Linked DNA regions of Notamacropus eugenii. The protein of the gene in region 2 purifies or fractionates together with the protein of the main gene of each other region. This does not show direct contact. Links are inferred from orthologs where the notes say so. Each region holds a gene or a part of one and is shown on either strand. Other genes may lie near its edges. The genes, in order: SKIL, SMAD2, TGFBR1 and SMARCC2.

Region 1 (7,277 bases), on a different chromosome or scaffold from region 2:
GTAGCGTTATGAAATCAAAAGTACGTTTAAAAAAAAAAGTAGGTAAATCCAAAAGGTGAGAAAATCTTCCTGCTGCCTGGGAACTATGTATTCCAATCCTTTGACCCTCCAACCTTGAACAAGGCTAATCTGGGACAAAAAAAGCAGTTGCAGACACTGTTCACAAAGAATGCAAATGGAGCAAGGGGAAGGGGGGAGGGGGAGAGGTAAATCCTCCTTCCACTTCCTTCTCAAGAAAAGAAATCCTGAATAAACTGGAGAAAATTGGGGTGAGGGTGAAGATGAACTATTGCTGCCTGAACTATTCACTCCATCCATCCCAACAAGGGAAAGGAAGGAATCCACTGACTTCAACCCCACCGCAGAGCGCCAGCTCAAACCACGAAGCCCAAAAGGAATCACCTGGAGAACTGGGGATTCCCCAAACCCCGAAAGTCCTTTACACCCACGCGGAGTCAAGTACTCAATTGAAAACCCTAGGGAAGGGAGGGGGAGGCAGGACACTAGGAATCAGGATGAGGCGGTAGGTGGGAGTCCTCCTCCTCCACAAGCCGACAGGGACATCCCCAGCCCTCCCCCTGCCAGTCTGCCCTGGGGAACAAGTCTAGACTCCAACAGGGTGGAGGGTGGAGGCTGTCGGGGGTGGGGGTGGGGGGAACCATGGGGACACTCGGGTGGAAATCCCCTTCCTTTCCTCACCCACCCTGTCATCCTCTCCCCATCTGCGGCCCCTGAAACTAAACAGAGCTCGCCCGCCGAGGCTCAACCAGTGGATGGGGTGCGGGTGGAGAGCAGCCACTAGTGAAAGTCCCCTTTCGGCCTCCCCACCTCCTCCAGGGAGGGTCAACCCAAGCCCCCCTCCCTCGATCCCCCACCCCTCGGACGGAAAGAGAGAGTCAGAGGAGGGGGCGTCGGGGAGTGGAGGCAGCAGTCTCCTTTAGCCATTCCGCACCCCACCCCGACATCTCCATCCCCTTCCGTCGCTGCCCACACTTCGGGAACTGGGCGCCACTCAAGCGGGGGCGGGGGGACGGGGGGGGGACACTGGAGGGGAGCGGCAGACGGAGATGGGGGGAAGCAGAGTGAAGACGGGGGGGGGCGTTGAGGAGACAGACACGGGGGGAGGGGTAGACAAGGGAAGGCAGAAATAGAGGAAAGGGCAGACCCGGGGTGGGGGGTAGAGGGGTAGACCAGGGGGAGGGGGTAGACCAGGGGAGAGGGCAGACCAGGGCAGGGGGGCCCTTCCTCCCCAGCCCGGTGGTCTCCAGCCCCCTCCCCCCAGCCGGGCGGGTGGCGCCCCGAGCGGAAGCCCCCTGCCCACGGCCGCCGAGCCTCGCCGACGGGCCAGGAGGTCCGGGCTGGGCCCCGCCGCGCCCCGCCGAGGCGAGGGCATCCCCGGCGGACGCCGAGGTCAAGTGCAGCCCTGGCCCCCCGCAGTCCCCCGCAGCCCCCCGACCTCCCGCGGCCCCCCGCGCCGCTCCCCTGCCCGCGGGCCCCGCCGGGCTGGGCCGAACCGTACCTGCGCTGCTCCCCCGGGCCCCGCCGCCGCTCCGAGGCTCCCCCGGGCTCCGCCGGCGCCGCCGCTCAGAACCCCCCGCCCCCCCATGGCTACACACAGCCAGCCCTCTGACGTCACCGGGCACACAGACCGCCCACGTCACTGCGGAGACACAGCTTCCCGCAGACGCCGCCGCCGCCGCCGCCGTCTCCGGCAGCCCGGGGGGAGGGGCCGCGGGGGAGGGGGAGGGGCAGGCCGCGCCAGCGTCCCCGCGCGCGCGCCCCGCGGCCCCAGCGCTCTATTGTGGCTCCGGCCCCGCCCCGCGCTCCCCGCCCGGCCGCGCGCGCCCGGCGCCCCTCCCCCCTCCCCCGCCCGCGGGGCTCCCAGGTCCTCGCGGCCCCGCGCGCCGTCTGGCCGGCTGGCGCGCGAGCCTGTCTGCGGTGCGCCCGGAGCAGACAGGATGTTCCCTCCCGCCCCGCCCCGCCCGGCCGGGCTGCGGGGGAGGGGCTGAGCCGGCAGTCTGCGGCCCGCCCCGCGGGGGCCCGGAGCCAGACCGCGGGGCGCCCCCGCCGGGGGATAAGGCGGCCCTCCCCACCCTCCCCAGGCGTCCCCATGAGCCCCCCACCCGGGGAGACTGGGGGCGCCCCCGCCGGGGGACAGGGCAGCCCCTCCCCACCCCCCCAGGCGTCCCCATGAGCCCCCCACCCGGGGAGACTGGGGGCGCCCCCGCCGGGGGACAGGGCAGCCCCTCCCCACCCCCCCAGGCGTCCCCATGAGCCCCCCACCCGGGGACACTGGGGGCGCCCCCGCCGGGGGACAGGGCAGCCCCTCCCCACCCTCCCCAGGCGTCCCCATGAGCCCCCCACCCGGGGACACTGGGGGCGCCCCCGCCGGGGGACAGGGCAGCTCCTCCCCACCCCCCCAGGCGTCCCCATGAGCCCCCCACCCGGGGAGACTGGGGGCGCCCCCGCCAGGGGACAGGGCAGCCCCTCCCCACCCTCCCCAGGCGTCCCCATGAGCCCCCGGCCCGGGGAGATCAGGGGCGCCCCAGGTGGAGGGCACTGCCCCCAAAGCGCCCCCGTGAATCCCTCTCCCGAAGATATCTGGGACCCCCTCCCCAATCCCTTACGCAGGCGCTCAGCCGAGAACAGCATCTGCTCCCCCTCCCCTTCGCCCTTCCGAGCCCCCTCCTTGAGAGGTCAGGGACAAACCCCTCCGCCTGGCAGCATCTGCTCCCTCCCCCCGCCCCCAGCCCCTCCTCCAGCCCCCTCCACGCCGCTCCTCCGAGTCCCCTAAGTGGGGAGGTCGGGGACACCCCTCCCCCAGCCCAGAACCGCATCTGCTCGCGGCGCCCCTCCCCCTCTTTCCAGGAACCCCCCCCCCCCCCCCCCCCCGCCTTCTCTCCCCTTCCCCCCGCCCGTACTTCCTAGACCGCGGGGCCTCCAGCCCGCCCCAGAAAGCCAGCTCTGCACCAGCAGACGGGAGCCCCGCCCCGACCTTGCCTCTGGCTGCCCCGAGCCCTCCCCCGGCCCTCCAGGCTCCTGGACTCCCGGAACAGGGAGCGCTCGGCGGCTCCTCGCCTGAACTGACCTCGGCCCGCGGGCAGCCGGGGAGTCGATCGTCTGGAAAAAAAAAAGTTGCAGCCCCAGCGAAGCCCCGGGCATCTCCCTCCCTGGCCCTGGTCCGGGCCCCTCCCCTCGCGCGATCTAAAACACCCAGAGCATCCACAGCGAGGGTTTTTTTTCAGGGTTCTTTTTTTTATTGGTTGACTTTCACATGGGGAGGGGAGCGCAGGAGTGGAGCCTAACCACCCAAGAGCTGGAGGGATGAGAGAATCATTGCAGACTGGGAGCAGAGCTGCCAACAAGGTGGTAGTGTCCACGCAGTAAGAGGGCTATAAGTTGGTCCAAGGAAGCGGGGGCCCCTGGGTGACCTTCTATCCCGGGAATGGCCCAGGGTCTCTCCGGCCCAGGGCAGTCTCTTAAGAAATCTTCGCTTGCTTCCTTGTCAAGCAACTGCTCTGTGCCTCAGTTTCCTCCTGTTCGGGATAAGTATTGCCCATCATTAAAAGATGACCACAACCGGCTCTAAATCCGTGATCCCATGAAGATGGCCTCCCTCCCTCAGAGAACCGTGTGAGTCGAAGTTGGTAAATTCCTGTGTAAATATCAGCTACGATTATAGTTCTTCTCCCTCAAATTGCTTCTTATCCATACACATTTTTCACACGACTTGGAGCTGGGGTCAGAATCTCCTTTTAATGTGTTACATTCCTCTTCAGTCAATCAACAAGCATTAATTAAGCGCTTACTGTGTGCCAGGAATTGTGCTAAACATTAGGGATCCCCCAAAAAGGCCAAACAAAATTCCTTAAAGGCAGGAACTTTTTTTTTTTTTGCTTCAGTTTTAACCCTGGAGTTTAGCACACAGAGTAAGAGCTTAATAAATGCTTGGTGACTGAATGAATGATTGTCGGTCCTCATTTTAGAGGTGAGAAACACCAGAGAAGCAAAGCGATTTTGTCCCTGGTCAAAGATAGCAAGTCGGGATTCTAACCTCCAGATTCAGTTTCTTTGCTACTTGGTGTTTATCATCCTCTCCTCCAACTCCACCCAGCAGTGTGTAAGTTCCCTGAAGGGGAGACTATTTCTGGTTCTGTTTTTGTTTTTGTGTATCAAAGCCTGGGCACCTAACCTAGTGCCCAAGGCAGAGAGGTGGCCTCTTTTGTTGGCTAAAACTACATTATTGTTGCTAAAAGGTCTCTTTGGAAGTAGAAAACCGTAGATGGAAAAGAGGAAAGAATAAAGATCATAAAAAGTATATCTGCTAGGTGTTTCAGTGATTAGAGCTCTGGACCTGGAGTCAGGAAGACCTGAGTTCAGATTCGACCTCCAACACTTACTAGCCGTGTGATCCTGGGTGAGTCACCAAACCTCTCTTTGCTTCAGTGTCCTTATCTGTATAAGGGGTGATAATAATAGCACCTTCCTCCCCAGGGTTGTTGTGTGAGGATCAAGTAAGATAATAATTGTGAACCAGCATGTTAGCTATTAAATAACTAGGTGGGGGAGTGCCAGGAAATTCAAACCTGGCCTCAGAGGCTTACTAGCTGTGTGACCCTAAGTAAGTCACTTAACCCCAACTGCCTCAGTTTCCTCCTTTGTAAAATGAGCTGGGGAATGAAATAGCAAACTGCTTCAGTACCTCTGCCAAACAAACCCCAAATGGGGTCACAAAGAGTCAGATACGACTGAACAACAACAAACCTATCTAAAAACTTTTCTCTTGTTTGGGGGCTGGGGGAGAGGAGGAGGAGGAGGATAGAGCATCACAATTTCAAGAGAATTGAACATTTACTTTTTAAAAAGTTACAATTACTTTTCTAGATGTTCAGTACTATTGATGGACCATGGCAAGATTCATTTTACTCCACCACAGCTCTAAAATCAGGAATTGAAACTATCTCCACCCAGCACTAAAGCATTCAGTACTCATTAGGTTCAGAGTTTTTTGTGTGTTGTTCTGAGAGATGGGGGTTGGGAGGGAGGAGAGTGCCCAATTTTCTATTAGTCCCTTATTTTATTGTCGTGAGTTCTGTCATTTGGTGTATCCTTCTAAACACTCCCTACCATCGGGCCAGAGGTTCTTCGGGACAGCTGAGACACAACAGGGACAAAAGATTTTTCTCCTCTTGCCTCCCTTCTAGCTCCTCCCCCTCCTCTTTACTCAGCTCCCATATTGGTTCCAAAGTTTCACCCCCATCTCCACCAACTATTGTTCTTCCCAGTTACTGAGCCTCTCTTTCCCTCAGGGAAGGATGCTCTTCCCCCCACCCCCCACCCCCCACCCTTTCTTTGGACTGTCTCCTTTCCCTAGCATGAATAATTCTGTAGCACTTCCCATCTGTTATTACCATAGAGACAGAAGCTCTGCAGAGATAATGATGCTCTGTGTGGAGTCAGTGGGGGAACCAGGAGCATCTGTGAGCCTGCAGGGACAGATTTTTTTTTTAACCAGTCAGAAAACATAGATGACCTAACCAAAGATTGAAGTGAGAAGGGTAGACAGCCCTGAGCCTTGGTCAGTTGTCTGTACCTGGTCCATGAATTTGGTGCAAACCACAAAGACCCCTCCAACACCCATTGAAGAAAAAGAAAGGTTATTTCAAAACTGCCATTAGTAATCAATTGTTGGCCATTTTATCAGCCATAAACATAACTGTTTACAAGCCCAAAGACCGTAGGCAGAAAAATCTCAGTTTCAAACTACTACTGTTTATTTCATCTGCTCATGTTGTTTTCCCCCACAAAACATCTGTGTTTCTGATAGAAGCCAACATTCTTTGCTGCAAGAAAAGTCTTGTTCTTCACCTCCTGGTGATGGGAGGGTAAAACTTGTTTATTTACCCCTCTGGGGGTAGGGAGTAAACTAGTAGCTAGGGAAATCTAAATGTGGAGGGAATTGTTTGAATTTATTGGGGAAAAATAGAATTTTTTGCATCATCTGATAAAGCACAGAAAGTGCCTGGCACATTGCATTTTGCCCTTCAGATCCCAAGGCCACTGGCCCCAAACTGCAGGTTGGGACTTGTAAGCAAGTGAGATTTTCTTAGATCAAGTATATCTTGGAAGGTTCATCTGTGGTCAAATTTTTGCAGGCCTTAGAAGTATTTGCAAGATTGATTTTATAAAAACCCTTAAGAAAAATAACAGTCATTGTCTCTTCCAGCCCAGATGTTATAGTAAGAGGGCCCACAAAATACAAATAAAAGGCAGAAAAAGAAAGAAAGCAGTCACTGCAGGTGGTAAAGAGAATGGTCCATGTCCAAAGACAAATACACATGAGGCCAACTTAATTACCAGGGATGATGCATGTCTCCTCATCTCTGCTGCTCATTTGGGTCCTATGCAGCCAACAGAAAGATTGAGCACAGAGTTGACACAGAGTCTATGTGTGTGTGGGTCTGGATTCCAAAGCCAAAAGTAAGGGATTTTTGAATTGCCCATCATTTTATCTGCTGAATTGTAGAAGATAATCCCTAAGAGTCATCATATCTCCCCACCTCAAAAGCTTTGAATGATTCCCTACTGTCCAAAAAATTAAAGAGGTAGCTAGGTGGTATGATGGATAGAGCCCTAACTTAGAGTCAGGGAATCTTGAGTTCAAATCAGCCACTTCCTCCCTGGGTGATGCTGGGCAAGTAGTCTCAGCCTCAGTTCATCTCCTCTGGAAAATGGGGATAATAATAACACCTATCTCAGTAGGACCAAATGAGATAGTTATGTATAATAAAATCTAGAACATAAACAGAGAACCTTTGACAATGTCTCCCCTTGGGAAAGATTCTGGGGATTCTATTTCTTGAGTAGTCATAATGACACATAATGGAAGTATCTTGGAGAGACTAACCAGACTGTAACCAGTTACAGTGTATGCTTCTGTATGCTTATGTCTCTCCAAGGTACTTCTGCTAATCACCTGGTTGGGGCAGCTAGGTGGGGCAGTGGGCTTGAAATCAGGAAGACTCATCCTCAGAAGTCCAATTTCAGCCTCAGACTTTCTAACTATGTGACCCTGGACAAGTCACTTAACCCTGCTTGCCTCAGTTTTCTCATCTGTAAAATGAGCTAGACAAGGAAATAGCAAACCACTCCAGTATCTCTGCCAAGAAAACCCCAAATGGGGTGAAGGAAGAGTTGAACATGACTGAACAAGAAAATCACCTTTTCCATTGACTAGCTTCAAAAAGGGCTCTGCAACCAGAGACACAGCTTTTTGT
Region 2 (7,740 bases):
AAATGGCTTCTTAAATATTCTAGTTTTAAAAATACACAAAAAATTATGATTCACATTTCAGAATATTTTCCTTACTCTCCCTTCTCTTTCATTTTATAGATATTACTTTATTTAATGAAAAAATAATGAAAAATTCATAAATTCAGATTTTAAAATTTTCTAACCCCACCACATAAAGTTCCACAAAACTTCCAGGGCAAAGGAGAGAATGACTATATGGTACAGTGGAAAGAGACCTGAGTTAGAATACTCTGTCCCACTTAATACTCATGCAATCAAGTCACCAGTTTCCAGGCCTCAGTTTCCTCATCTATGAGAGGAAGGGGCTGGACTCAATTACCTCTTCTAACACCGGTCTCTTCCAGAGCTAAACCTAGGATGCCATTCAAGTATTGCCCTTTACACTTTAAGACACTTTACTGTCTTTAAGACAGATTGGGGAAAAAGAACAAAAAAATGCAGTTGGTGGCTAAACTATTTCCACTCAATAGATTAAGTAACTAAAACACTCCTCTCTTGTTCTCTATCTGCAATCCAAGGGAGGGGAAGAGACTGAATTACTTCCAGTCCAAGTTTGTTGTTAAATTTGGATTTTTGAAATTAAGTAAAAGAAAATTGAACTGCACTTTTATTTTAAAGTCAAAGTTCGCTGATGAATCTGGGTGATGAATCTGGTATCTTTTCAACTAATTTGAAAAATGACTTGCTTTTTAAAGTACACATCACAGATTTTGGCATATATGGCATATGATGCATATATATGTTGCATGTATATACACAAACATATATAAAATTTGTATCTACACAAGATACAGACCTTGGTGAAGGGAAAGGAAAGAAAATCGACTTTTGGAGTCAGATGACTTGGGGCTCAAATCCCATTTCTGGTGCCTTCCACCTACTCCACCTTGGCTAAGTCACTTAGCTTTTAGGGGACTCAGTTTCCTCATCTATAAAATGAAGGACTTGAACTAGACGGGCTTCTCATGTTCCTTTCCAGTTTCCCTAAGTCTAAGCGTGCCACGATTTGTAAAACAAGTTCATTTTCATCTACACAAAACCCAGACACTGATCTTTTGAAGGTAGAGACGAGGTGAGAAGAGAGGGGAAGCAACAAAACCAGTTAAATTGGTTCCCTTTGTTTGGGATCAACAGAATAATTCCTAAATCAAAGATTAAAAGGTACACACAAGACTTAATAAACTACAGTATTCACCGCCAGGAAAGTGGCAAATTATAGAATTATGCTGCAAGCATCCCCCATGGGCACGCTTTTCGTAGAGCAACTTTAAAAAGTAGACCCCAAAGGAATCATTTCCGCAGTAAATAATAATAAATAAAGGAAACTAAAGGCAGTCCTTGCCGCCGCCGCTACCACCACCACCACCACCACAGCTACTACGACGACGACCACCACTCCTGGATCACTGCCCCACCTCCAACCCCCTCTCCAGCTTTAAAGACTGTCTGGACGGGTTCCGACAAGGAGGCACAATGGACGTTCCGGGCCCCGGCTGCAGAGGACGCCTCTGGCCCCTTCCCATCATCACCACTTTCTGCCAGCCCCGGCCGCTTCCCAGGACCGATCACACTCCACACAGGACCGCCCCCCCACCCATTCACCCCCAGTGAAGGAGGCGAGCACAAATACATCTCGGAGACTCCCGGAATTGTAGGAGGGGGTGGGGGGGATGGGGGTGTTACCTCACGGAGGCGGCGGCCCCTCTCGGGCAGGATCGGGGGGGTCTCGGACCTTTTGTTCCTTCCCCTTTGGAATGGGATGTAGGAGTCTGGGGAAGCAGGGAAGGAGGGGGAGGGGGGAGTGGAAATGGTCGATTTAAGGCGGAACTGAAAACACTCTCCCCTCCGCCCCTCCCCCAGAGGAGGCAGAGTCCCGAGGCGAGGAGGCGGACCAGCGGGGCGTGGGGGGCTGGGAGAATGCAGGTTGGGAAAGGGTCGCGGGAAGAGGGAAAGAGGAGCCGCCGCCCGGTCCGCCCACACCGGAGGGAGGAGAAAATAGGGGAGGGCGTGGGGACGTGCGTGTCCCACCGCTCGCCCCTCCTCCCCTACCTCACGCGCGAACACACACACACACACACACACACACACACACACACACACACACACACGAACAAGACTAACCGGCCCGCGCGGTTTCCCTGCCCCCACCGCCTCCGTGCCACCTACCGCTGCCGCGCAGCGAACCCTGCTCCCGGCTGCTCGCTCGCTCGGCTCTCGCTGCCTTTGCTACCTAGCTGCTGCTATTGCCGCCGCTGCTGCTCCTGCTCCTCCGCCGCGGCCGTGCGGGTAAAACCCGCCTCCTACCCCGGGCCCCGGGTCCCGGCGATTCGTCAGTATAGCCCCGGGGCTGGCACCCTGCCGCCCGCTGATTGGCGCCCCCGCCCGCCCGTTAGGGCGTGAGGACGCGCCGGCCGTGAGGAGCGCTCCGCGCGCCCAGGAGATGGGGTGGGGGGGCGGGGAGCGGGGGAAGGGAGCTCAAGTGCGCCAGGGAGAGAGAGTTGCGGACTAACACCTTCTTCGCTTTTCCCTCTTGGCCACGCCCTCCTAACCCACCCGATCTGATGGACATCTACCTCGACGAATCGGAGCTTGCCGAGGTCGGGGTGTGCGCGGCACGTCGGGTTCCCTGAATCGGACGGGAAACGTCGCTCGCCGATGGGTCCCGCCTCCTCCGTAGAACGTGAGGTGGTGTGGGGGGAGGGGTCAGAAAGGCAGCGGTTTCGGTTGATTCCTCTCGCCCGCGTATACAGGAGATTCACTAGAGGTGGGGAGGAGGGGAGGGCGGAAGGACAGGCTTTATCTAAACATACAGTAACCTGCCGCGTAGGGAAAATAATCCCAGCAAAAGTACTCACCCATCTTTCTACCTCACCCAGCGTGCCTCAGCCTCGTTGGCTTGCCGCCCCTTCCCCAGGTCATCACCCCTTTCACACTCACTAAGTGGCCACAGGGTGGGGCTCGTTTAGGGACTATCCCTCTCCATTCCAAAAGGGATTTAACCTACGCTCAGGGGAGGGAGGACTAGGAAGGAAAGGGGGAGACGAGAGCTCCCAGCCCCACCCCCATAGGAGACAAATGGGACTGAGAAAAGGAAGGGGGCGTGGTCAAAAGCCGGGAGGGTCTTGTATGTAAATAAGGAGGCGGGGACAAAATCACCTCCAAGAGCAAATTAGGATGTCCTGGAGGGGCGGGGCTCAATCATACTAGGAGAGCTTGGTGCGGGTCTCTGTCCGCTATACCGGTGAAATATGCCAGCCATAGTAAGTTCGTTGGATTTATGATGGAGGGGACCCCAGAGTCCACCAGATCCTGTCCTCTTACTTTTCAGCGGAGGAGAGTGAGGCCCAGGGAGGGGAAGGGTCTTGTCCAAGTTCAAGTAGGGAGTAAATCGCAGAGCTCACATTAGAACCCAGGTCTTCTGATACTAGAGCTAGGACTTGTTCTACTACGCTGCCCTTTACTAACTACTACACTGCCTATGTTCTTTCAAAAGTAATTTCTTCTTTTCCTTCTTCTCCTCCTCCTTTTCCTTCTCCTTCACCTCCTCCTCCTTTCTTCTTCCTTGACCACCTTGGCTAGTATATTATCAAAATCCTAGTTATTGATCTGTGCTGGAATTTTTGTTTTCATTTATTTTGATTACCCTAAATTATTCCCAATGTCCAATTCATGATGTGGGACTGCAAAATCTGCCCTATGGAAATGTAAGGAGGCTTTGAGGTGGTGGCCCCCCAGGGCTCTCTGACAGCCTATGCAGCCATAGTCTGCCATTTCCATTTAGGGAGTACCTCAACCTCTAGAGAAGAGAATATGAAATAGTCAAATCAAATCAGCTCTTTATTGAACACCATTCCTTTCTAGAATTTTTGACAGATGAGGAAATCTGGGCATAGTCTGACATACATGGTAGACTGAGATAAAGGCTTCAAAAGATTCAGAGAAAAGATAGGTAGATTCCTCAGATAAAGGTCTCATTTCTTAAATATACAAAGAACTTTGTCAAATTTATAAGAATATGTCATACCCCAGTTAAAGGATCAAGGGATATGAACTGGCAGCTTTTCGATGAAGAAATCAAAACTATATATGATCATATGAAAAATTGCTCTAATTACTTAGAGAAATGCAAATTAAAACAACTTTGAGATATCATCTTATACCTGTCATATTAGGAAAAGGATGAACAGGATGGGGTATTTGATTGTGATGGAATATTACTATGATATAAGAAATGATGAGCTGGTTGATTTAGAAAAACATGGAAAGACTTGGACTATGAAGGAAGGTACTATCCACCTCCAGACAAAGAACTGACAAATAGAAATATGCATAGTATGGTCTTATATGTATATATGTATATGTGTATAATATATGTGTATGTTTATAGATATGTATATATATGCATATATATTCATATTTAATTGTAGCCTTTTATGAAGGGAGAAAAAATAAGATAGAAAATGCACTGTAGACAACAAAAGAAAACCTAGAAGGAAGCACAGAAAAGCTGGGTAGCTTTGAAAAAATACATAGTATTGATTACATAGGTTTTCATGAATAAACATTTTTTTTATATTGAATCCTCTCTTATGTTTACCTGTATACAAGGAATTTTTTTTTCTTGTTTTGTGTTTAACTTTAAGAGAGGAATAAAAAACATATTTTAAAAGATAAATAGGATCCTGTGGGCTAAAAGATCATGGAATTAAGGCTGACAACATGTTGAATGTAAGAACATGATCCCTCTTGTAGAAATAGTGCTAAAACTTAAAATCAGCTATTTCTGATAAGGGAAGCTAAGGATAACAAAAAAGTATATTTAAAGCTATATTGGGAGAAAAAGATCTTTGAAAGAGATAAGACCTTTGCTTGGAGTGCATGAGGTTATGATACCTAAGAACCAAGAAAACAAAACTGCTCAAATCTTATTTTGCTTCTGTTTACTAAGGAAAATGATCTTTTCACTGGAATGACAGAATATGACTAATAACAAGTTGATACCCAAGTAACATGATGGTAAAAGAGTATCTGTTTGTTCTTGATTAAAGCAGTTCACCTGGTGTGCAGATAGATTATATACTCAAATACTGAAAGAACTGGAAGGGATGTGACTGTTTAATCAGTGATATTTGAAAAATCATGAAAAACAAAGGAGATACTACAAGATTAGGAAAGTGCTAATGTGGTTCTGATTTTCAAAATAAAAGTGGGAGGAGAGAGAACAGTTTTTAAGCTATAGACAAATAAACTTTACTTTGTGGGAAAATACAAAAATATATCATTAAAGAGATGATTGGTAAGCCACTAGAAGGGGAAACCGTCATTAAAAAGAACCAGCATAACTTCATCAAGAATAGATCATGGCAAATTCATCTCATTTCCTTTTTCAACATATTTAATAAATTTGTAGATGAAGGGAATGCCATGGATATAATTTACCCAGATTTTAACAAAGCTTTTGATAAAGTGTCACTTACTATTATTGTAGAGAAGATGAAGAGGCATTGGGTAGATACAATTAGACAGATTTAGAATTGGTTGAATAGTTGAACTCAGTATATATTAGTAGTTCAATGCTGGCATGGCAGAATATCTCCAGTGGAGTAACTACAGAGGTCTCTGCTCGGTTCTCTACTATTTAACATTTTAACATTTTATCATGGACTTGGATAAAAGTATAGATGACCTGTTAATCAAATTTGGCAAAGATATTGTACTGGAAGGGATAGAGAAGATTCTAGAAAATGAAGTCAAGTTTCAAAAGACCTTGACACATGACTAAGTAAAGGCAGGAATTCACCTCATCTCTCCCAATTTCCCCACCAAACAACTTCATAATAATGCCTCAAAACAAATTCTGGAGCAGCAGAACTAACAAAGATACAGTGAAACAACTTCCCAGCCCAAGACAACTTAGAAAGTTGGTAGAAAAGTTATGTCTCACTAGGGGGAGAATGGAGTGCAGTCCAGCACAGATCATGCCCTGGCAAGCCAGCAGTAGGCCTTGAGGGTGACTAAATCAGCCCACAGATGGTAAGGAGAGAGGGGTCAGAAAACCGGTAAGAAGGCAATTACAGAAAACCCTTTCTTGTCACTGGGTACAGGATGCTGTTACATTGCCAATACGTGGTTCCATTGCGCAGTCTCAGGGTGAGGAGGATCACTAGAATAGTAGAACATGTGGCCACAGGAGAGGCACAGTTACAGAGCTGAAAGAGTGCAGCATTCATTCCCAGATCAGAGCACAAGCCAGAAGAATAGTGACCACACCTCCCCTTTGATCATACCACTTTGGAAGAACTGAAAACTTAAAGATACCAACCCCCTCAAAAATTAGCTCTGAAAATAGCAGCTCAAAAACCCTGAAGCTTGGGACCATGCCCTTTCTACGCAAAAGTCAAGAAATACACTGGAAAAATTAGCAAACAGCAACAAAAAGAACCTAACCATGGAAAGTTACTATGGTGATAGAGAAGGTCAAACCATAAACTCAGAGGAAGACAACAAAATCAAAATACTATTTCCAAAGCCTCAAAGAAAAATGTGAATTGGTCTGGGGTCCAAAAAGGATTCCTGGAAGGGCTCAAAAAGGAGTGTTAAAATCAAATAAAAGAGGTAGAGAAAAATGTGAAAAGAAATGACAGTGATTAAAAGTGAGTCAACAGCTTGGTAAAGGAGGCAGAAAAAAAAAATGAAGAAAATATTGCCTGAAAATCAGAATAGGCCAAATGGTAAAAGAGGCACAAAATTCCACTGAAGAAAAGAGAGATACAGAGGGAGATACAAAAACTTGCTGAAGAAAATCATTTCTTAAAAATTAGAATTAGGCAAGTGGAAGCTAATGAGTCCACGAGACATCAAGAAATCATAAAATGAAAGGAATAAAAAAAGAAGACAATGTAAAATATCTCACTGGAAAAACTTTTTACTTGGAAAAATAGATCAGGGAGAATTAACTTGAGAATTATTGGACTACCTGAAAACTATGATAAAAAATAAAAAGCCTAGATGTCATATTTCAAGAAATTGTCAAGGAAAACTTCTCTGATATCCTAGAAGCAGAGAGTAAAATAGAAATTGAAAGAACCCACTAATCCCCTCCTAAAAGAGATCCCAAAATTAATATTATAGCCAAATGCTAGAGCTCCTGGGAGAAGGAGAAAATATTGTAGATAGCCAGAAAGAAACAACTCAAATATTGTGGAATCAAGATAACACAAGATTTGGCAGCTTTTATGTTAAAGGATTGGAGGGTTTGGGATATGATATTCCAAAGAGCTAGGATTACAAACAAGAATCATTTACCCAGCAAAACTGAGTATAATCCTTCAGTGGGAAAAATGGATATTTAATGAAATAGACAACTTTCAAGCATTCCTGATGAAAAGACTAGAACTGAATGGAAAATTTGACTTTCAAACACAGCACTCAAGAGAAGCATAAAAAAGGTAAACAGAAAAGAGAAATCATAAGAGATTCAATAAGTTCAAAATGTTTACATTCCTAAATGGGAAGATGCCTAAGAATATTATCATTATTAGGGCAGTTAGAAGAAGTATATTTATACTGAGGACACAGGTGTAACTTGACTATGATGGTATGATATCTAAAAAAATTAAGGGATTAGAAAGAGAGATGTATTAGAAGAAAGGAGAGATAGAACAAGGCAAATTATCCCACATAAAAGCCATGAAAGAACTTATATAGTGGAGAGGAAGA
Region 3 (7,507 bases), on a different chromosome or scaffold from region 2:
TCCACTGCCCATCCTACTTTCAGACACAGCTCAAGGATCATCTTTTGCATGAACCTTTCATTATTTCCTCCAACTGCTAAAATATCTTGTATTTTACAACTTTGTATATATCTGTATTTATACTGTATATATCTATATACATACTTGTCTCTCCCATTAGACTATAAACTTCTCGTCAGAATTGTTTCGTTCTTTTTAGGTATATTACCAGCATAATGCCTGGTCTATAGCAGCTGCTTAACAAATACTTGTTAAGTAATTGATTTCTGGGTTTGTGCCTTCCCTCCAAAGGACCTCCAAGGTATAGGAAGTTATTTATAAAATACTAAAGGCTCTTTCCTCACAACAATCTGGTAAGGGAGGGAGTATAATTATGATTTCCATTTTTTAACAGTTAAACGACTTGGCCTGAAGTGATAGGTCAGGTATCATCTGATGCCAAGGCCAATCGATGCCCTTTCCACAGCTCCAAGTTGCTCATTTCTATGCATAGTCCAGCACATAGAACTTGTGACTTCTGAATGTCTATGCAATGTTCTACACAGAAAAGGCACTCAAAAAATGTTACCCAAATACAAAGCTGGAATGTTAATATTTAAAAAGCAGTAAAATCAACTTTTCGCGTTAAATGGTATGGATAATTCACAAGTAATTTATATTTACCTTTAGAATACATTTATTACTTTTCCAGCAATTTGTCTTCTAAATATTACTTCCATAGGTAATGGAAATATAAAATATAAGCCAGATGTAGAATTCTTTCATAAAATATGTCATCCATAACATAAAGGACCAGGAGAGGAGTAGGGGTGTCCTAGTCATGTGGCAAAAGCAAGGATTAACAGATAGACAGCCCAAGTGCTGTACTGGTTAAAAAAAAAAAAACCCTAGAAAGGGCTGTTGTGGAAAAAGCTCCATAGGAAGTTTATGGAAACATACAAAAAAGAATCACACAAAAGGAAAGATGAGTTTGGGGGTGGGGAAAGGGTATCCACATCAAAAGAAAGCAAGCATTTTTGCAGCCCATCTTAAAAAGAATAGTAATCCCTTAACATCTACTGACAGCCATAAACGGAACACTGGAAAGCAGAAAAGCGCTTTGACATTTTAAAATTTGTGGAGGTAAATCCACAGAGTAAATAATCAAATACTGTTAGGTCAACTGCTTCCAAGGTGACTTAAAAGATATAAAAAGAAAATCAATAACAAACAGAATTACACACACACACACACACACACACACACACGTAATTTCATAGGATCGGAGCTCAGTACTTGAAAGCGGCCCTAGAGATAATCTTGCCCAATCCCTTCAACGGACAGATAAGAAAACCAAGGCACAGGAGACTTTACCTCCCAGCCCAGGGTAGCCCAATTTGGAAGCATCTTAGCCAGAGCACAGGAACGTGACCAAATAGAAAACGCCTTCCCTAGCAGCTGAAAACGCTGCCTGGCTTTGCAGCGTTGCTACAACTTAACTCTACACTATCTCGCTACACCACTACTTACTGGTGCCTCTCACGCGATCCTCACACCTGCAAAGTTCTCCCTCCTCTCCTGGACTCTCCAGTCTCATCTCCAACCCAGCTTTCCCCACTGGCCTTCCAGATCCCTCCCAGGGCTGGAGCTTCCAGCCCAGATTAGACGATTAAGCACTAGGTAATTCACGTTATCTGTTTGGAAGGGAGCTCCTCCAGGGCACGGACCCAGGCTGGCCTTTCTTTGTATCTGCAGGGCTTAGCCTAACGCTAGGGACGGAGCTCCTTCCACCAACGTCACTCTTCAGCTCCAAAGATGGGAGGTTTTAGGTGGGTTAGGGGCTTTTTTTGGGTGGTTTTACTTATTTTTTGAGGGCGTTTCTGTGCGTGCACGAAAAAGCACTGCCCAGTCGGTATGCCTCCCCACCTCCTAAAACGATCCCTCGCTCGGGTCCCAGAAAACCGGGTCCTCCCAGAGCGGCAGCTCCCCTGCCGCCGTCCTCGTGATAGTCATCTCTCTCCCACTAGAAATCTGATTTAGCAGCAAGAGGAGGAAAAACAAATCTTCTCCCAACACGTGTTGGATGAATGTGTAAAAAAAAAAAAAAAAAGTCATTCCCATTCAAACATTTCGAAACGCCGAGCAAATATTCAGACAAGTTTCTAGGGCGAAAATAATTCTTAGTCATCTGGTGATGGAATTCGCCCGCACCCCCTCCCCCCCACCCCGGGCACCCGGGAAGCGGCCGCCGCGCTTCACACCTACTTAGCCCCCGGCTCCCGGGGCCAGCACAAAGATAGGGGAGGGGAGGTCCGCACTCGGGGCAGGAGGGGCCGGAGGCTCCGGCGGGGCTGGGGGGGGGGGGTCAGGAGTCCGCGACACCCCCCGCCAGACACCCTCCCGGCCCCGGGCGGAGAGGCCAGCCCCGCGAGCCCGGGCTCCCCGCCGCCGCCCCCCGCCTCCTCACAATCTCCGTCTGCGGTCTGTCTGGCCGAGGCGGCGGCGGAGCCCCGGGAGGAGCCCTCCTCCGTCTCCCGCAAGCCGCCCGACCACCCCCGGCGCCCCCGGGGCCCGCGCCATGTTGGAGAAAGGGGCCGCGGCCCCAGCGCCCCCGTCCGCCTCCGCCGCCGCCCCGGCCCCTCCCCCCTCCTGCGGCTCACCCGTCGCCCCTGGGACCAGCCCCGCGGCCGCCAGGAGGAGAAACATCTGGTAGCGGGGGGGAACGGTCGTCTTCCCCGCGACGGCCGCCGCCGCGGCCGCCTCCATGGTCCCGCGTCGTAGTCCGCGTCGGGTCCTTTCGAGGGGCCGGGGCCGCGTCTCGGTGCCCCCGCCCCGAGGAACCAGAGAGCCTCGCCTCGCGCCGCGGCCTCGTTCGGCCCCTTTGTAACTGCTCGGGGGGGGCCCTCCCATTGGCTGCGAGGGACGTCCCGGCCCCGCCTCCCGGCAGCTGCCGAGACGGGAGAACAACAAGAGAGGCGAGAGCCCGGCCCGCAGGGCCGCAGCCAATCCGGGGCCGGAGGGCGCCGGGAACGGCCGGGCCCCCGCCTCCTTCCCAGTCCCTCCACAGGCTCACCCCTCCCACCCCGCCTCCTTCCCAGGCTCCCAGGACTCCCCCGCCCCCTCCTCAGCCCCACCCCCTCACCCCGCGTCCCCCCACGCCGGAGGTTTCGGATGGTGCAAGAAGTGGGGGGGGGGGGGGGTGAGCAGTGAGCCGTGCACTGGAAGAGGAAGCGGCCGCCGAAGCCAGGGGCTCTGGGGTCCCTAGAGCTGGGGGGCGCCCAAGGGGCCCCAGCATGTTGTGCCCGCGGAGGGGAAGTACTTCAGGACTGGGGGCCTCTCTCCGCTCGGTGCACGGGGACCGGGGCGGCCGCACCCCCTTCCCAGGGGACCGTTATCGCCCTGGGCCACTCCGGAGCTGCCGCCAGCTCCGGGCCCTCTTCCGTCCCCACTCCCCATTCCTCCTCCGACGGCCCCCCTTCCCCCGAAGCCCTCGGAGACGTGACCTCGGGGCCGTCTGCGCTTCACCACTCTTACTAACTGAGCCCGGAGAGCCGAGCAGGCCGGAATGGGGCCGCCCCGTTTTCTAACCACTCCAGCGGCGGGATGGGGGAAAGGCGGTCTACACCGCACGCACGATCGCCGAGACCCCCCGGGACTCAAGAGCCCTTGCCTCTCTGGCTCGCCCCTTTCATGAAGTCAAATAAACTCGGGAGAAACTCGGAAGGGGTAGAGGGAACTCTCGCCGCCGAGACGAGGCAGCCCGTTCTGCAACCACAAGTGGCTAATGTTTAAAACCTGCGGTGTTTGCAGTACCACGGGTATCCAGCGTGCCTCTTTGGGGAATCTTTGGTTTCCTTCAAGACGAAAATAAGCTGAACTACTTTTCCATTCTTGATTTTCTCGGCTGAGAGACACTCCTCCCACCTTCACTTCAGTATGTGCCAAAATAATTTAGCAGCCAGACTTCTGATTCTGCAATAAAATACTTTTACTTTCGATACAAATACTATGCAGTTTTTTAACGCTAAACTTTTTTTTTTAACAGAAAGCTTCAATATCTATTTTCCATTTATTTGGCTTCAATCCTTTTTTTTTTTTTTAAACTTAATGATCTCTCCTTGCCTCAGTCTCCTGGCTTCCTTCAAGTCACTGCTAAAATCCCACCTTCTGCAACAAGCCTTTCCCAGTTCCCCCTAATACCTCTCCTCAGTGATTATCTCCACTTTATGCTGTTTACATATATATATGTATATATATATATATATATATATATATATATATATACACACATATATTCATAGTTGTTTACTTGTTGTCTCTCCCATTAGACTACGAGCTCCTTGAGGATCAGGAGTTTTTGACTTTGTACCCTTAGTGCCTGGCACAAAGTAGGTGAGCTTTATAAACGCTTATTGATTTGACTTTTTGACTTGGATAAGGAACTTGTCCTCATTTATGGATTCCCTTAAAATGTGTTTGGGCGATAATGTATTAATAAAAGTGGTTAAGAAAACCTTTAAATCTGGAGACTTTAAAAGCCTAGTAAGAGTGGGAGTAATAGTGATTAGGGCTGATGCAAATGAATATAGCTTTTAATCCTCCCCAGAGTGGCTTGTATTTAAGGAGTTTAAATTGTTAAGATAAATGAATTAACTCACTGGTGCCTGCGACACAGGGCAGCAGTGAATAGATCGCCTGACCTGGAGTCAGGAGAACCTGAGCTCAGATGTGACCTCAGACGCTTATTAGCGGTGTGACGTTGGGAAAGTCATTTACCCCTGTTTGCCCTAGTTTTCTCATCTGAAAAATGGGTTGGAGAGGAAAATGGTAAACCAATCCAGTATCTATGTCATGAACACCCCAAGTAGGGTCACTGTGAGTCTGACACAACAAAAGCCTGAGACACAATCCCCCCCACTCCTCCCCACCTCTATTTAGAGACCTTTGCGTGCCGTCTGCTTACAGAAAGGAAAGCAGTCAACACTTCTGCTCCTAACCATCTCCTTTCTTAGGGGTTCGGCGACTTGATGTCTCACTCTCAAAAGTTTCTAATTGCTGATCTAGCTTTTTTTCTAATGATTAGAATGTGTTTGTGGACTAGATACAGTGTTTCTCTCCCTCAGAAAGTCTCCGATAGACACTGACTAATTGTATCTCTCCAGGCTCCATAAGGGCTTCCATCTTACTAGTCTTATTTAGAATCAACTGTTTTGCTTGGTTTCAACTCCAGGAACTTCATTCCTTCCCCCAGAATAAATTCCTCACCTGAAATCTCATCGTCATGTGGACTGACTCAGTTTTTGATAATCTTGATAATCCAACACCTCTTCTGTTTCCTGAGTTGCCTCTCCCCTTAGTTTGGAGCTAGGGGCTGGAAAGCTAAGCAGTCAACTCAGAACTTTTCAAATATTTATTTTCCATCAGTTGCCCAACTTGGTTTCCGAGTGGGTCCCAGACGCCCCTTCCCCTTTTCAGCTTCCTTTTGTGAATTGGCTTCCTCGATAGTGACTGTCTTATTTTTTGTTTATATATCTCCAGAACTGAAGATAGTGTCTGGCGCTTAATATGTGTGCTTAATAGACGTTTATTGACTAAAGACAATAATAATCCTCAAATTCTCAAGTCAATTTTCATGAAATGCATTTTATGTCAGCTATTCTAGGATGATATTTTGGAAAATATATCAAATCCACTGATTCTATGATACCACCACCTCAGATCTCAGTCTTGAGCTATTATGAAAATATGGATGTCTTTGTATGTCACATCTTTCTGTTTCCCTGTTTAGTCACTAAGAGAGAGGAAGGAGGTGAGGAGCAAGATGCTTGGAAGGGCAAATGGCCTTTTCCTAACACAAGTTGTAAGTAAAGGGTAATCAAACATTTCTTGGAAGTGAAAGTAAAATCCTACAGCTAAAGGAAGTCTGCTATTTTTCACCTCAGGAATATGAGTCTTAGGCAAACTAGGATAATTAATGAAATATCTAGAGCAGGAGTTGTTAATGGGGTCACTGAACTTTTTTTAAAAAATTAAAACTATGCAGGATGTTCCCAATATCTTAGTGCAGTTTTAAACTGTACACTGTAATTCAAGGTAATTGTTTTCCTATGTAATCTATGTATATTACATGTAAGTAGTTTTGAACTATCTTTGATTACTATATAGGTTATCGCTTTGGAAATATTTCAATATTTCTTCTGATTGATAGGAATACTTCCAACTATGTAACCAATTTATACCATTTAATCTTCCATGATTCTTCTGTGTTCTTGGAAGGGGAACATTGTTCATCTGTGATGTCTTTCCAAGATACATACATACATATGTATGTGTATATATATATACTAATAGAATATTTTTATAGACTACACACCTAACTGCATATTATGGTCCACAGTAGACAACAGGCATTTTCCCCTATAGTGCTTACTTCCCCACATGTGTGTCTGAGTGTCTGTGTCAGTGTGTGCATGCACATATACATATGCACACACAAATGATACATACATCATTATCCAGACCCACATTGAACCAACCAAGTAGAATATAAACTGCTTGGGGGCAAGAAGTATTTAATTTTTAACTTTATATCCCCAATATCTAGTAGAGTACTTCACACATAGTAGGTGCTTAATAGGTGTTTGTTGAAATGAATTTTTAACTCATGTTCTTTCCTACATGGAGAGTTAAACTAGCCATCTTTTATCCTGATATTCTTTAGGAGGCCATATAGAAATCTGAGGCTTGATATAATTAACCCAATATCATCTTCAAATAAGAACACTTGGAGGGCCTCATTATCTACAGGAAATCTTCCTTGTCTTTGGACTCCCTACAAGATAGTCCCCATGACAATGGCAAGCACCTTTGGCAATATACATCTCCAATTTATTATGCCACATGTATTAATAATGAAAACGTCATTGAACAAAAATCATCTCTGTAGTTACATTTATCAAGGAATCTCATTATAGGCATAGGAAGTTCAATGTTGCAGCCTTAAAGGACTTTAAATAGCATTTTGTTCTACTATCTTAAATGTTTTATAATTTTAAAAAACTGTTTAGCCTTATGTGCTCTGAACATTTTAGTCAATTATAAGGCTGTGAAAACGTGATCAGTTGTGGAAAGTAATCTATGAAAGCCGGCTTGTTCCCTTCTCATATTTTTTTTTTTATCAAGTATAATCTCAAGAAGAAATATAAAGATAAGTCACTTGAATCAATGACAACTCCATTTTTAACTTTTTTTTTTAAAAAAACCATTGATTTTGAAAAATGGAAATTGGATATGGGTAATGTTTCTAAATCTGATTAATGAGTTAAAGCAGTTATCACAATGAGGAAGTCATGGTAGCTCAGAAGCTATCTCAGCCAGCTAACACTTGATCTCTTTGCCATGCAGAGATATGTGACAACCAAAAGCATCCCTGACTTAGCATATAGACTTATTTGCTAAACATTGAGTAGGATGGCAAAAGATTGATTATAGGTAGTGCCACCTCATGTAACAGCAAAAAAAAATAACC
Region 4 (7,535 bases), on a different chromosome or scaffold from region 2:
GTGGTAAAAGCGACCTACTCCCTCCCCCCTTATCATTTCACTTCAGAAAGCAAAGTACAGCAATAATATCTGCTCCTAAGCTGAGGGCATTTCTTCAACTATTTTATCCTTCTGACAAATCCCTAGACAGGGGTAGAGTAGCCTAGGGGGTAAAGTGACAGATCTGGTAATATCTGGAGACAGCCTCACTGGGCTAAGCCAGCAATACTCTAAGGTTGGCTGGGGAAGGAGAGATACAGTACTTAAATAGTCTAGGTCCTTCCCCAGGTTGTTGGGATACCCACCTGCCTTGGCCCTGTAGACTCACCGGAAGCTTGGTAAGTGGTGCGTTGCTCACATGTTTGCCAAATACCTCCTCCTGGAACTGTAGCAACTGTACCACTAGGCTAGATAAGGACTTGTTGGTGGGTGGCTCAGCTTGGATGTACTAGGAGGAGAGGGAGAAAGGGAATAATGAAGACTCCCATTATATCTCCCACAAGCCCCAAGCTTGAGAGAAAGGCCCCTAGAAAGGTAGTAAGGTCAAGTGGAGACATTCTAGAAGCCTCTCTCCTCAGACAACGGCTAGAAACTATGTGTGAAAAGAAGGCAGACAAGAGGCACCTTCACCTAGTTCTAAGGGCAGCAGAAAGAGCTCCAGGAGGTAAAAATTCTTCTGCCAGCAAATAACTGAAGCAGTTTAGTACTGAGTGCCCAAGAGGGAAGAATTTCCTTCTCTTTCTTGAGCTTCACTCTGTAATGTGAGCTGCCAGGACCCTCTTATCTTGATGCCACAACAGTACTCTGGGTCATAAAAGCCTCAGGCTTTATGGAATCCAGCCTATGTGGAGGTGATGGGAGAGAAGGAGGCTCTTCAGGACTCACTGAACAGAATAAGGTTGTCCACTAACTTGTGGGAACATTTTTGGGGGAGAGGGAGAGAAGAAAATCTTGGCAAATTGGTCATTAAGAAAGACAGGCCAAATAGAACTGCTACAGGATATTTGTGGAGGGGCCTTTGGTTTATAATAGATCCTCTAGAAGATAATAATAACATAAGGAAGACCGTACTCACATGCTGCCTAATAGAGAAATGGCAGGCAAAAAGCTCTACTATCCCTGAATAAACTAGGCTGGATACAAGCCCTGGTAAGAAGGCAGGTACCCTGATCGCTGTAGGCTGTTCAAAACAATTCTGGACTTTTTCCAGACATCCCCATATAATACTTCTCTCCAAGAATTCATGTTAAACTGAACCTCTAGGATTTCTTTTAACCCTTTGACCCCAGTTTCCTCCACCCCAATCACAGAGGACAACATCCCTCTCAGAGGGAGGCAGGGAAAATAGCTTCTGGGAAAGGAGAGGTCACAGGAGGGAAAAGTAAATGACAAAAGCCCAGGAGTATAAAAGCCACACCAGATCACGGGCAATCAATTCATCCCAGAATCCACTTACTAAGCCCCCAGTTTATTCTCCCTCCCAAAGGTCAGAGCTAGTAACTGCCTGGAAATCAGAGCCCCATGCTGAGTACAGACAAGCAACAGATGGAGCAGCTGACTGTCAGGATTCTGACACCTGGAGAGACCCCAGAGAACAAGGTTAGCTTGTATCCAAATGTATCTGGAACCTGAGGAAAGGGGCTTCACAGACCAGAGCTCTCCCAACAGTACCACCACTTACAACCTCCAACAGGAAACAAGGATGGGTAGGGAGAATCTGAAAGCCAGAAAACCAAGAAGGAAAAAAGATACAAAACTTGTCTTCCTCCTTGTAAGAAAGAGTGGGGAAGAGTGAAAAGGAGCAGATTCTTCCCGGAGAATCTGATTATGGGGAGAGAACACAACATAGGTGGATGCTGCCCTTTTATCAGCCTTCCAGACAAAGGACATAACCAGGAAAGGCCCGTAGAAGGGGGGGATCACGTTCCACAGACCTTTTGTTCACTCCCTTACCCCCCCAGTCTTGGGTAAAAAGGTTGGGACTGGGCTCCACACTGGGACCTCAAGTCAAGGGAGGCCCAAAGTGGGGACTTCACTGTAAATGCTGAGACACTGTTTGAGACCCACCATCCCCTGTCCTCTGGCCTCCCCTCGGATGGAGGCAGGCTAGACAGGTAAGAGCACGGAGATCCTCCCCAGGCCAAGAGCAGGAGGGAGGCCTTCCCGGTGGGTGTCTGCCCCGCTGCTTTTCCTCATTCCCTTCTCCCAATACTCTACACACACAAAGCCTCGGGGAGGCCTCAACTCCCGCCCCCACCCCCAGCCCTTGGGCACCGGGGCTGGCCCGGGGGAGTACCCAGTCGGCTTCTTCCTCCTCCCTCTCCCTGGCTGGCTCCTGCCCTTCTTGAGAATTTTCAAATGAACCACAAAGAGGAAGATGATGGTATTACTACTATTTTCATAGCGCTTCATGGTTCGCAAAGCGCTTTGCATGTGTGATCTCAGTGGATGGTGGTGACGGGAGACTCATGGAACCAGGGACATTGGATGGGGGGGTGACCGGGGGAAGGGGAGGCAATCAAACAAATAGAAGAACACATGGGGGGAGAACGTGAGGAGTAAGGGGGGGACAGCGGGGAGGGGGTAAAGGTCGCGGGGGGGAGGGGGGCCTGGGGAGCGGCGGGGCAGGGAAGGGACGGGGTATCGGGAGAGGGCACAGTGGGGAAGGGGGCAGGAGGAGGAAGACAGCGGGGGAGGGGACAGCGGGCAGAGGCGGCCGGGGCCCGGCCCGACTGCTCGAGGGTGGCCCGCAGCATGTGGGGATCGCGGGGACCCCACGGAAGGGGGCGGCAGCGGCGGGGGGGGTCCAAGCGGCGCCCTTTGTGGCGCCCGGGGCCCCGGCCCGGCCCGGCCCGGCCCGGCGCGCTGTGCTCAGGCCCGTACCTTCTTGTAGTTCTTGCCGAGCCACAGCCTCACGTTATCAAACTGGGTCACGGTGTCTGCGGCCTCGTAGTACTTCACGTTGGGGCCGCCATCCTTCTTCCGCACCGCCATCTTCTCCTGGCTCCCCCCCCCAGCTGCCGCCGCCGCCGCCACCGTCGCCGCCACCGCCCGCCCCGCTCCCTCGCCTCGCCTCCTCCTCCGCCCGCCGCCCGCAGCCGCCTGGGCCCAACGCAGCGCCCCCTGCCGGGCCCGGCCAGAGTGGTGAAGGCCCGCGGGAGGGAAGGGGGAGTGACGGGGGGGGGTCAGTGAGGGGAGGAGGACTGACTGGGGGGGGGGGCCAGTGAGGGGAGAGGGGAGCGATGGGGGGGTCAGTGCGGGGAGGGGGGAGTAGTGGGGGGGTCAGTGCGGGGAGGGGGGAGTAGTGGGGGGTCAGTGCGGGGAGGGGGACTGACGGGGGGGTCAGTGCGGGGAGGGGGGAGTAGTGGGGGGGTCAGTGCGGGGAGGGGGGAGTAGTGGGGGGTCAGTGCGGGGAGGGGGGAGTAGTGGGGGGTCAGTGCGGGGAGGGGGGAGTAGTGGGGGGGTCAGTGCGGGGAGGGGGACTGACGGGGGGGTCAGTGCGGGGAGGGGGGAGTAGTGGGGGGTCAGTGTGGGGAGGGGGACTGACCGGGGGGGTCAGTGAGGGGGCACTCATGGGGGGGTTGTCAGGGGAGGGGAGCCTGACAGTTCAGTGAAGGGCGGGGGAGTCACAGCGGGGGTCACTGGAGGGCGGGAGGAATGACAGCGGATTGAGGCGGGATGACAAGGGGAGTGACTGGGGGGATCGGTGTAGTACGGAAGGAGTGACGGAGGGGATCAGTAAAGGCTGGAGGAGTAATGGGGGTGTCAGTGAGGGAAGGGGGGTGATGATAGAGGGGTCAATGAGGGACTGGGAGAGGAGAGAATGACCCGGAAATAAGGGACGGGGGCGGTGATTGAGGGAGGTCTTTGGGGGGCAGGGGAGATCGTCGAAGGTGACAGAGGAGTGGGAGGGGTCGGGCCCCCCGTGAAGAGAAAGCCATTCTCCCTTCTCCCGGAAGCCCCCTCGGGGGCTCCAGCCCCTGCACACCATTGCCCCCTCTCTCCGAGCTGATCCCGGCCCCGCCCTTTCCTGGGGGGATTCCGAGCCTTCTCTCCCAAACTTCGGTGAGGAGCCACGGAGAGAGGGGGTGAAGGGGCATCTGCACCGAGAATTAGAGGGAGAAATTTGTCTGTCGGCCCGCAGCCTTTTCCACGCTGCTGCGACCCTTCCTATAAGCGCGCGGCAAAAGCTCAGCCCGGGAGTCACGGTGGCCGAGTGGTTAAGGCGTTGGACTCGAAATCCAATGGGGTTTCCCCGCACAGGTTCGAATCCTGTTCGTGACGGCCGCTGCTTTTTTTTTTTTTTTTTATTTTTTTTTCCCTTGCCCAAGAAAAGGGAGGCTCCAACCTAATTCATACAGAGTAGGTTCCGGTTGGGAAAAAAAGGCTCAGCACCTGGATTTTCGGGGTGTAGAGGGCACAGCCCGGGGGAGAACTGCTCGAGTCTCCGTCCCGCTAGCCCTTTCACTTCTGGGTCCGCCTGCTCTTGTTCGTTTTTATTCGTTTTTTGGAGGGGGCGGCAGGGCTGTGATTAGTTAGAGGTTAGATTGAATGGGAGGCAGAGACGTTTTTAGCAAAGATATAGAATGGCTGTGATGACATCCATCGCCTTCTGGGAGTGTAGTGAGAGAGACGAGAGCGAGGGGTGCTGAAGGGTGACCCCCAGTCCGGGCGCGCCTGCACGTCTTAAGTGGGGTGCTAGCATGAGGCTGATGTGCTGGTAGGGAAATTCCTTGGACAAGGCTGGAGCTAGACAGACGGAAGCCTGAGACGGGAGCCGATGTGGCGCCGAGGGAACGTCGGCGTCTGGGAGCCGGCAGGTCCTCGGTTCAAGTCCCGACGGTTGACGGTTAGGCCTGACTGTTTCCTAATCTGCCCACGTGGGGTTAATTACTCTACGTTACCTTTGTTAGCTGCGGTGGGGGGTGGGGCGTAAGGAAACTTACCAGACGGGTAATTGACGTTTGTAGTTACGCGGAGTTCTGGTCGGTCCGTGCATCTTGAGTCTGGTGCGCAGCAGTAATCAGTTACTTGTGTGTTCCGCACCTGATTGACATATGTACATAGAGTATCTTTGTTATTTTTCCCTTTTTTGTGAAACTCTGGATGCCAGCCCGATTTTTACTAGTTGGTCTCCAGGGTTCCGGGGTGAGCTAAAGAGCTGGGCAGTGTCTGTCGCTCGGAACTGAACTTGGTTCAGCTGCAGACGAGGTCCGGAGCCGAGGGCTGCCTGGGGGGCGACGGGAGGGCCGCCGGACCCGGAGCCCTGGTGAGTCCGGCGGTGTTCCGACTTGGGGATCCAGGCTCCCGTAAGTCCCTCGGCTTCCAGTTAGTTAAGTTTGGGAGTTCAGGGGAACGTCCCCACTGTGACGGTAAAATCTTCCGACTCGGAACTGAAGAGGTCCGCTTTCTTTTTCTCGAACTCCAGTTGGATTTCAGACTTTTTACCCGGAAGACTGACGAAATGGCTGCATTCTTCCCAGGGTTTAGAATTTTGCAGTCCCTTTCAAGAATCAGCTGGGGTACATGGCCTCTGGATGTACACAGCAGCCGACCATCAGATAAAATAGCAGCACTGGAGAGAGCAAAGGATGATGAAAGTAGCATCCCAGTTATTAACAACAAATACACACCAACGATACACCCGATAGACGTAGCTCAAAAACGCAAAACATCACTTGACAAGCTACTTTATTGACTACAGGTTTAAATTACACGTAGAACATAGTATATGCAGTATCACAGCAATACATGGGTATCCATGGGACACAAGCCAATATTCAAATACCAAAATCAAAGGAGAAATGACATTGGTGGGTCTACAAATAAGATTTGAAGAAAAAGAAACATAACTAAACGTACAGTAAAGCTGAATAGTTAGGCAAATGCAACTACAATAAATGCCTGATATATATGAATAAATAAACACAAGAAAAATAACGTAATACATGCTGTAAATGATATGCATCAATGAATTTAGAATGAAATTACATACAAAGTACATATTATATGCATAAACATTATCATCACCTGGCTATATATGTTGTATCCATTTAACATCTTTCACCTGATACATCTTAGTTAGCATGCTCATTGGTCAGAGAGTTGTAGCTCTTCTACTGAACTAACTGCTCCTATCCCTAGACTAACACCTTTTCAGGACTTTTCAGGGCTGCTTATCTACCTTCGGTGTCCATCTGATTCACCCAACTCTCACTTGTAGTTCCAAAAAGCTGTAGCAGGAGCAACAGCCAGAGCCCCATAATACCATCTTGGCAGATGGGCTAAACCAGGTCAAGGGTACCCGACAGGCTTCAGACTGGTCAGTGAGTGAGGGAGATGTCTACCCCAAGTATGTGAAGACTTCCCCTGGTAGAATGGGCAAATGAGAACAATTTGTTCCAACAACCATGAAGACAGCTGATGCAGGCGATGTGGAATGCCAACATCATCCACAGCAAACCAGACCATTGCCAGTCATCTTGACTTCTGTCCTGCCGCTGGATTTCTAATGAATCTGGAAGAGAGAGGCTGATGACTTTGCACAATTCTGCCTCATTTTAATTCACATCCAAGTCAAGACATCCTCTTCAAAATGAAGGAAGAACAACATCTGTTTCTTTCCTTGGGCTATATTGATTGCGTGGTTGAATCATAAATCCTCATCATGACTATAGTCCTGCTCTCCTAAATCTCAACTGGTCCAGCCTGGCTACCTGGGTTACTACATTCTGTCAGGACATGTAGAAACCAGAGCAGTCTCTACAGTTAGAGTGCTAGATAGGAAAGCTATTGCCTCTGAGTTTAAACCTTTTCTATCATTTGAATGGGATTTTGTAGAATATTCTTTACTTGAAATGAGTTTCTGGATCTTTGAGTCTTTATGACTAGAAAGTTATTTCTTCCGTGTATCATCCACTGAAATGAATGTCCAACACTTTTTGTCTGCCTTTCAGAAAATCCAAATAACTCACCTACTGGTGATAAATGGTTACAGTGGATTGCTTTGCAGGATCATTGCCAGTCTCTGGAACCATTCTGTACACAAAACAATATGACCAGTCTCTCTACTCCTAGGTATAGGGTAGCTTTCTATCAAATTGCTAACTGGTGTATCTCATGAATATCATGACTTCTCAGCAGAACAATATCTTCTAGGTGAAGGTATTAACAATTCAGTCATTCATTTCAGTGTTTTGGGGGGCTGAAGTTGTGGCTAAGTTGCTCTAACTCCCCTTGAAGTCAAGACATGTACTGATTGTATTTGCTTTCTTTCTATTCTCTGAGACTCTACAGTCAGTGGGTAGGTGTGGTTCCGGCCCAAATATGAGAAGGTAGGGTGTAAAGTCATTGATTAGCATAGGAAAGCCACATGTTGCCACTGAGACTTTTGTCTCAGTGTCTCTAATATGTGCTTTAAAATTTTGGGTTAATTCTGAACCAAATTAAGCTCACACAAGATTGAGTATGTGTGTGTGTATACATATATATACATATATATATATATGTATATATATGTATACACACACACACACACATAGAAGAACACAAAAAGA

What was found.
Region 1: the proteins of SMAD2 (region 2) and SKIL purify together in Homo sapiens (affinity purification with western blotting; 8 studies listed by BioGRID and IntAct, with this or other methods). This does not show direct contact. The link is inferred for Notamacropus eugenii from reciprocal best matches to the Homo sapiens genes SMAD2 and SKIL.
Region 3: the proteins of SMAD2 (region 2) and TGFBR1 purify together in Homo sapiens (affinity purification with western blotting; 8 studies listed by BioGRID and IntAct, with this or other methods). This does not show direct contact. The link is inferred for Notamacropus eugenii from reciprocal best matches to the Homo sapiens genes SMAD2 and TGFBR1.
Region 4: the proteins of SMAD2 (region 2) and SMARCC2 purify together in Homo sapiens (affinity purification with mass spectrometry; 3 studies listed by BioGRID, with this or other methods). This does not show direct contact. The link is inferred for Notamacropus eugenii from reciprocal best matches to the Homo sapiens genes SMAD2 and SMARCC2.

Annotation. Positions count from the first base shown.
Region 1 is NC_092877.1:353,779,865-353,787,141, forward strand, and holds the start of SKIL (ski-like protein), read right to left. Parts: upstream 3,018-7,277; 5' UTR 2,996-3,017; exon of another isoform or gene 2,918-2,995; intron 2,723-2,917; exon of another isoform or gene 2,628-2,722; intron 1,621-2,627; exon of another isoform or gene 1,520-1,620; intron 1-1,519. UniProt on the Homo sapiens protein: May have regulatory role in cell division or differentiation in response to extracellular signals.
Region 2 is NC_092875.1:325,358,072-325,365,811, reverse strand, and holds the start of SMAD2 (mothers against decapentaplegic homolog 2), read right to left. Parts: upstream 3,015-7,740; 5' UTR 2,595-3,014; intron 2,519-2,594; exon of another isoform or gene 2,188-2,518; intron 2,038-2,187; exon of another isoform or gene 1,705-2,037; intron 1-1,704. UniProt on the Homo sapiens protein: Receptor-regulated SMAD (R-SMAD) that is an intracellular signal transducer and transcriptional modulator activated by TGF-beta (transforming growth factor) and activin type 1 receptor kinases.
Region 3 is NC_092872.1:65,598,505-65,606,011, forward strand, and holds the start of TGFBR1 (TGF-beta receptor type-1), read right to left. Parts: upstream 3,004-7,507; 5' UTR 2,890-3,003; coding exon 2,640-2,889; intron 1-2,639. UniProt on the Homo sapiens protein: Transmembrane serine/threonine kinase forming with the TGF-beta type II serine/threonine kinase receptor, TGFBR2, the non-promiscuous receptor for the TGF-beta cytokines TGFB1, TGFB2 and TGFB3.
Region 4 is NC_092874.1:231,452,510-231,460,044, forward strand, and holds the start of SMARCC2 (SWI/SNF complex subunit SMARCC2), read right to left. Parts: upstream 3,013-7,535; 5' UTR 2,974-3,012; coding exon 2,863-2,973; intron 428-2,862; coding exon 308-427; intron 1-307. UniProt on the Homo sapiens protein: Involved in transcriptional activation and repression of select genes by chromatin remodeling (alteration of DNA-nucleosome topology).